Linked DNA regions of Rattus norvegicus. The protein of the gene in region 1 interacts with the protein of each later gene in a pairwise test. Links are inferred from orthologs where the notes say so. Each region holds a gene or a part of one and is shown in the gene's direction. Other genes may lie near its edges. The genes, in order: Mab21l3 and Aggf1.

The links.
Region 2: the proteins of Mab21l3 (region 1) and Aggf1 interact in binary tests that used the Homo sapiens proteins (3 or more experiments, as listed by UniProt). The two-hybrid records come from large-scale screens. The link is inferred for Rattus norvegicus from reciprocal best matches to the Homo sapiens genes MAB21L3 and AGGF1.

What each region holds. Positions count from the first base shown.
Region 1 is NC_086020.1:191,943,064-191,946,882, reverse strand, and holds part of Mab21l3 (protein mab-21-like 3), read left to right. Parts: intron 1-2,936; coding exon 2,937-3,115; intron 3,116-3,702; coding exon 3,703-3,819.
Region 2 is NC_086020.1:28,360,199-28,364,017, reverse strand, and holds part of Aggf1 (angiogenic factor with G patch and FHA domains 1), read left to right. Parts: intron 1-879; coding exon 880-981; intron 982-2,357; coding exon 2,358-2,523; intron 2,524-3,256; coding exon 3,257-3,339; intron 3,340-3,819. UniProt on the Homo sapiens protein: Promotes angiogenesis and the proliferation of endothelial cells. Able to bind to endothelial cells and promote cell proliferation, suggesting that it may act in an autocrine fashion.

The sequences.
Region 1 (3,819 bases):
TATCTTATAAAATTAAATATTTGGGGCCAGAGAGATGCACAGTTAAGAGCAGGGGCCGCACTTGCAGAAGACCCGAGTTCAGTTCCCAGCACCCACCTCAGGTGACTCACGTCCACTTTAACTCCAGCTCCAGAGGATCTGATGCCCTCTGCTGGCCTCCATGGGTACCTGCATGCGTGTGTACGTAATACACACATCATATAATTACAAATAAATCTGAAGGAAAACAACAATGACAAAGAATCCCAACAACAATAGGAGCATTAAAATTCCGAGCAGATTAACAGCTATCAGAAGTCTGAGCAGGGTGGCCCTGTGGGGTTGGGTGGGTCGGGTGAGATGGGCTTTCTCCTGTTCTTGGGAGCATTTCACTTTTAAAGGACAACTTGTCCATTATTTATCTTTATGAAGTGCTTACCTGGCCATTCAACAAATAAGCTTTTGCAAACACACAAAGAACTGTGACCAAGGAGATCCTCTGCTCTAGGTTTGAAAACGGTAACCAACTAGGAAAAAAGAAATCTAACTATCCAAGAAAACTGGTCCAGTCCATGATGGCACCTGTGCCTGGCAGACTGCATGCAGCCCCTGCCAAGCAAGACACACGCGAGCACGCACATCTTATGAAAAATTACACAAGCTACAGAACTCGGTGTCAGATGATACATTTGTAAATGTTTGTCTGAACAGAATAGCTCTGAAAGTCCCCCATCCTGGTCATATCTCATGGGTGCTATAGAAGGCGCTTGTGTGGATATTTAATTCTGTGGCAACCTGAGACTGGGATAACATGCAGCTTAGCTGGTGGAATATTTGCCTGGCATGGACAACACCTGGGATTCGATCACCGGCACTGCGTACATCTGTCACGTTGGTGCACCTCTGATCACTGCACTCTGGGAGGTGGAGAGAGGGAGGGTCAGAAATTCAAAGCCATCTGTTTGCTGCATAGAAAATTCAAGGCCAGCCTGGGATACTGGAGACCTTGTTAAAATTAAAAAAAAAAAACAAAAAACAAAAAAAAAAAGAGGAGGAGAAGGAGGAAGGAAAGAAGGAAGGGAGGGAGGAAGGAAAGAAGGAAGGGAGAGAAGAGAAAGAGTTCTTTTCTGAAGCTGCCTGAGGGTCATGCACTAGAGCCACACACATCTGCAGAAGCAGAGAGTAGTCCAGGCAGCCCAGCTCCAGGTTCAATGCTAACCTTCAGAGATGCTCCACTAGTGAAAGTTGGGATGGGAGTGGCAAGCAGGGCCAGGCCAGTGTGGCACTTTCAGTGACTAAAGCTGAAGCCACACTCCTTATCCATGCCTTGTTGGGGCCTCTCTGGTGAGATGTAGACCATGGGCCATTTATCACACCTAGCTCAGGACAGCTTGCTTTCCCCAGAACAGTCAAACACAGTTTACAGCTTCCTTTCCCCTAAGAAGGAAAGACTGAAATGACAGACCTTAGTTCAAGATACCCACCCTTATCTGTAACAAAGCCAAAAAAGAAAAAGTCCAAATCACCCATGTGTTGGGGCTGGAGAGATGCTCAGTGGTTAGAAGCACTTGCTGCTCTTGTAGAGGACCTGGGATCAGTCCCCAGGATCCAGTCTGTTATCTCTAGTTCCAAGGGATCTGATACTTTCTTCAGGCCTCTGCAGGCTGCTACATGTATGTAGTGCACAGAAACTTGTGCAGGCGCACAAATACACATAGATTAAAATAAAATAAAAATCCATTGTTTTGAAAAGAGAACCCCTGGCAATGAGGTCAGGCTGGCTCATGAGCTGGAAAACTCACCACACATTTCTTCTTCTGTGCCTGCTTGGAAAATGAAATAACGGAAACTCCCTTCCATTCACCTGGCCCCTTCCAGCTGTGACCCCTCCCACCCACCTGGCCCCTTCCAGCTGTGACCCCCTCCCACCCACCTGGCCCCTTCCAGCTGTGACCCCTCCTACCCACCTGGCCCCTTCCAGCTGTGACCCCTCCCACTCACCTGGCCCCTTCCAGCTGTGACCCCTCCCACCCACCTGGCCCCTTCCAGCTGTGACCCCTCCCACCCACCTGGCCCCTTCCAGCTGTGACCCCTCCCACTCACCTGGCCCCTTCCAGCTGTGACCCCTCCCACTCACCTGGCCCCTTCCAGCTGTGACCCCTCCCACCCACCTGGCCCCTTCCAGCTGTGACCCCTCCCACTCACCTGGCCCCTTCCAGCTGTGACCCCTCCCACTCACCTGGCCCCTTCCAGCTGTGACCCCTCCCACTCACCTGGCTCCTTCCAGCTGTGACCCCTCCCACTCACCTGACCCTTCCAGCTGTGACCAAGAGACTGATTCAAATGAAAAGCAGGTTAGTAGGACTCCCCTGGAAGGCACCCAGGGAAGGGTGGGGTCAGTGCCAACCTTCCTGACATGAGATCGAAGTCCTTACCCTCACCTGCACAGGGATCCCTGCTAAACCAGCACTGAGACAGAAATGTTAGATTCCATCTCACAATAACCAGTACGCTTCTTTTCCATCTTATTCTCTGACCTTCCTTCATTGAACTTTCTGAAAAGAACCTATCTATCAATTTGAATGGAAACCTGCTGGGTTATAACCCAGAGGTATTGTGATCAGCGTTGAGGCCCTAGGTTCAGTCTCCCCCGACACTCACATATGCATGCATACATGATCTCCAGCATAACACAAAACACGTGCGTGTGCACACGCACACACCCCAAAATAATATGTGCTTCAAAGCTTTGGAGTTGTGGGGAGAAAAGGCAAAGACCCACCCGCATGAGCCTTCCTTGTGACACTGTGATGGGGCAGACTGTCTGGTGTCTACAGAACTGACACTGACAGTCGCACTGACAGCTCCCAGAGCATTTGCTCACTGCTTCCGGCCCTGCTGCTTGTGCAGAGCAAGGCTTTCTCTTCTCAAGTGTCCCTCTGGTTCTCTCCCATCAGGCAAAGTCACTGTGCTAGAAAAACGCACTACTGTTTGGGTTGCTGTGGAAACGTCCACAGGCCAGGTAGAACTGGAGCTGGCCCCCACTGTGGAGATCCCCACCACCTGGCCTGAGAAAGCCCAGTGGCCTCGGTGTCTGAAGCGGTGGCCTTCCCCAGAGAGAGTGGAGTGCATCAAGGTATGGGTGAGCAGATGGGGTTCATTTGGTAGAGTGCCATGAGCTTTGCCAATAACATTGAGCACATTACTGAGCATGTAGTGTCCTAGGGAAGCAGGGGGTTCCTTAGAGTTGCTGTTCTAATTCACATGTCCCCCTCCCACCATGGCAGCACTGACTGAGCTTGTCAGAAATGCAGGTTTCTTATCAGAAACCCATAGGCGAAAGCTGGTAAGTCCTCTAGGGCTCTGACATTGGTAGAAACAACTGCCATCAAGGGGTCTGAGCCACCCCTGCTCCCTGAGTGTACCAAGATGCTTTGCATTCTCCCATGATGCCTTTAGGCCTCAGTGTTTTGGCATCCACATTTGAGTGAGAATAGTCAGTGTGTGTTTGTCTTTTTCTAGCTTATTACATTATGCATATTATACTCCAATCCCATCCTTGCCCCTGTGAATGACTGAATTTGATTCTTTTTATTGGCTGAATAATATTCCATCGTATAGACATACCACAAGATGTGGGCAATGGGTCCCTCCAGCTGTCTGAGCTGTTCTCCACGTGAGCCAGCTTCCTGTGTCTCACTTCCTATCCTTCTTTGTTTTCAGTCATTTGGGTTTAACTTGGTGGCCCAGTCCACCTATCACTGGCAGCTGAGCTTCTCCCAGGCAGAGCGGGTGCTGTGTGAGCAGCTGGATGAAGATGGAGGCTGCCGCAGGCGGTGT
Region 2 (3,819 bases), about 160 Mb from region 1:
GTATCTCTCAGAGAAAAAGTTGGATTGTGTACAAATTCTGTATACACAAGGAGGCTTATAACAGTTTTCTTTTAAAAAATGTATGTCTATGGGGGTTTTGCTTGCATGTATGTCTATGCACCAGTTGGGTGCCTCATGCACACAGGGCAGAAGAAGATGATGGATTACCTGGAACTGGAGTTACAGACGGTTATAAGCCTTTGTATGGAAGGACTGCCACGGGTGCTGGGGATCAAACTCTGGTCCTCTGGAAAAACAGCCAGCGCTCTTAACCACTGAACCATCTCTCCAGCCTGACCGTGGCAAATTCTTAAAGATAGTAACACCTAGGACGCCTAGATGTCCGGTTTTAAAGGCTTGAATGTGGGGTCATTCTGTAATGGATGAGTGAAGTGCGGCGTACCCAGTACTTGGACAAACTGTGGCGTTTGCTGAGCCTGTTAGCAGAGCTGCCGTTTATGAATAACGTGCTCTGCAGTAAGGGAGGCTCAGTCCTGTGTCTGCAACTCTGGAGGACTTGCTTCCCTGAGCATTCGAGTGTTTCAAGTCAGTGTGCATTGAGAATTGAGATGATTTTAAATAGACAGTGATAGTACTTAATGTTGGGGGAGAAATCAAGTCCTACGTACAGTCCAATCTTACATATGTTTTAAAAGTGGAAGAGGCAGGATATACACACTTTCATCACAGTTAGAGGTGGAAGAATTTGAAGCGTAGCCTCCTTATTTCCACCAGAAAGTTGTGATACTTTGTATTCAGTACAGAGCATGAAGAGAGATCGGTGGAGTTGTCAGAGACCAGTGTATACACCATTGCATAATAGTGAAGTTAGCTCTGGGCTGAAAACGTTTTGTAATTGCTTGGTTGCTTTCCTTTAAGTTCCATGCAGAAGTTTACTTTGACCATGACTTGCAGAGCTACGTTCTTGTGGATCAGGGCAGCCAGAATGGTACCATTGTCAACGGGAAACAGATTCTTCAGGTAAGTTGATATGTAGTAGTCGCTTGCACTTCCTTGTCTGAGCTTAGGTCCTAGTCATTACAGATAGCATCTGGTCCAGATCAGGTTCAAGCACAAATTTATAACTTGGTTGGAATTTTCCAGAAAGGGCTGGAAAAAGATTTTTAGTAGATATTGGTCTGGAGTTTTGACTTCTAATTATACCTCTATTGCTACTTCAGGGATGACTATCATAAAGCTTATCTAGTTTAAATATTTGTGTGTGTGACCTCTACATGTGGAAGACAGCTTCGTGTAGTCACTTCTCTGTGCTGAGCCATTTCACTGACCCAGGACTGAATATTCACAGAAGTAGCTTTGGTGGCCCTCCTTTTCCCTGTGTGCTGCTGCGACTCTCCCTCTGACACTGCTGGACAGCCAGCTCTAACCTTTTTTTTGTTTTTTTGTTTGTTTGTTTTTTGTTTTTTTGTCTTAGTAAAAATAATGCTAAACTAGGACTTTTCTGAAAACCAAAGTACCCTGACAAATCAACTTAGGAAAGGAAAAGAGTCGTCCATGATGGTGAAGCAGGTGGTCATATTATGTCAGACTTCAGGAAGCAAAGGGAGAAAATGCTAGCAGTAAGCTCAGTTTCTCCTGTTTGTTCCAGCTAGGACCCCAGCCCATGGCATGAGGCTACCCACAGTATGGTAGATCTTGTCACTTGAGTTAACCTACTCTAGATGATGCCTCACTGGCATGCCCAGAGGTCATCATTAACTACATGTACTCCCATGGTGTGCTCAGGACCATAAGTGGGTCTAGATTCTGTCGTGTTGATAATAAAAACCACCCAGGATGCCTTGTTCTTATGCTTTAAGAATGAAAGAAAGAAATTGTAAGAAAAGCTAAGAGGTGACTTAGTGGTTAAGAGTATTTACCATGGTATCATTAGAATCAAAGTTCTGATCCCAGGGCCCATGTAACAACTTATGTTCACACACACACACACACACACACACACACACACACACACACACAAACACACACACACACACACAGAGCAAATTTCTTTTACAAGAGGAATCAGTTCTTAACATAGAACATTCCTCTGATTGTGTGTTTTGCTAATAGATTGAAGTCTGGAGTGGACTGGTAGACTTTGATAAGATAGAATTAGAAGTAGCTTTTCGGGAATACTGTAAGGGATAGTGGGTGGGGCCCAGAGTTTGGTTCGTGGTAAGTGCATGCTCTTCCTGTGCTAAGTCATGGTCCTGGGAGTCTTTTGCAGGGTCTGTGTGTCCATCAAGTTGTGGAAGTGTGCATGGGTCTCCTTTTCTGAACGTTTCTCTACCATAGACATAATGTAACCATGTGACTATTTTGTATTTCTCTTTCATTAAAAATTTCTCATCCAGCCAAAAACTAAATGCGATCCTTACATCCTTGAACACGGTGATGAAGTAAAAATCGGGGAGACTGTGCTGTCTTTTCACATTCACCCTGGCAGTGAGACTTGCGATGGCTGTGAACCGGGGCAGGTCAGAGCTCACCTTCGCCTTGATAAAAAAGATGAGCCTTTGGGTATGTGAGGCAAGTGTGGAGACTGATCGCTAAGTGTCTGGGATGAGTAGTGGCCCCTCTGTACCAGTGAGCCCCCTTCGCCCCCTCACGTCTCACCGCATGTGCCTAGTTGGCCTGCTCGTTGTAGACAAGGTGCATTGTATGTGCCCCAGTGTGTGGTACTGAAGGGTGGTAACTGACACATTCGGAACTGTCCACACGTGCAGGCCACCTCTAGCCAAAGTGCTTTGTAGAAACTGTTTTTAAATTGACTCTCAAAACGTGTGTTTCCAGAAGGGGTTTTCACAATCCTTAGTTCTCCTTTACCCGACTCCCCACCCCTTCCTCCCTCACTTCCACATACGTGTTTAGCCCCATATTATTACATAAGCTCTGCTTCCCCTCCTCCCTCTCATGGGCTTGTCCCGCCTTCCAGGTCCTGCAGACACTGCATGTTAAATGCACCAATCTACTTTTTCCACATAGCATATGTGAAGTGTAAGAATATGACATTTTGCCTCCCTGGGTCTGGCTTAGATACCTCAGCATAATGCTTTCTACTTGCTGATGAGTGGATAGTGATGATATAGCATGTAGACACACTATGGAATCTTTTCTACTATAATGAAAAGTGAGATGATGACAGTTGCAGTAAAATGGTTTGAATTGGTTAATATACTAAGATAAACTATTTTTTTAGTAAGTACTAATTTCCTGTAAGTCTGTCATATTCAAACTCAGTTTTTCCTTTTAGTTGGTCCAGCATTAAGTAAGGAAGAAAAAGAGTTGGAAAGAAGAAAGGCACTAAAGAAAATACGAGTAAAGTATGGTTTGCAGGTAAGGTGCTCAATATTCTCTCATCTACTCAGTGTACTGAGCACGCTGCGTATATTTTTATTTACCACGATTACTTATGTATTTCTATAGTTCTGGTGTTTATAACTTAACTTCTGAAGTTGGGGTTGAAAATATAGTATGCGGGGTTGGGGATTTAGCTCAGTGGTAGAGCGCTTGCCTAGCAAGCACAAGGCCTGGGTTCAGTCCCCAGCTCTGAAAAAAAGAAAAGAAAAAAAAAAGAAAAGAAAATCTAGTATGCGTGTGGGTCTGAGTTCAGATCCCACACCTGACTGAAAGCCAGTGTGCCGTGCCTGTTGTAACCCCACTCCAGAGGCTAGAAGGGTCTTGCTAGCCGGCCAGTCCATTTGAATCAGTTAACCCACCTCAGAAACTAAGGTGGCGGGCAGTTAGAGAAAACCATCCCATTCCTCTGACTCTGTGCTTATGCACACACAAGTTTAGGCAAATTTTCTGAGGTAT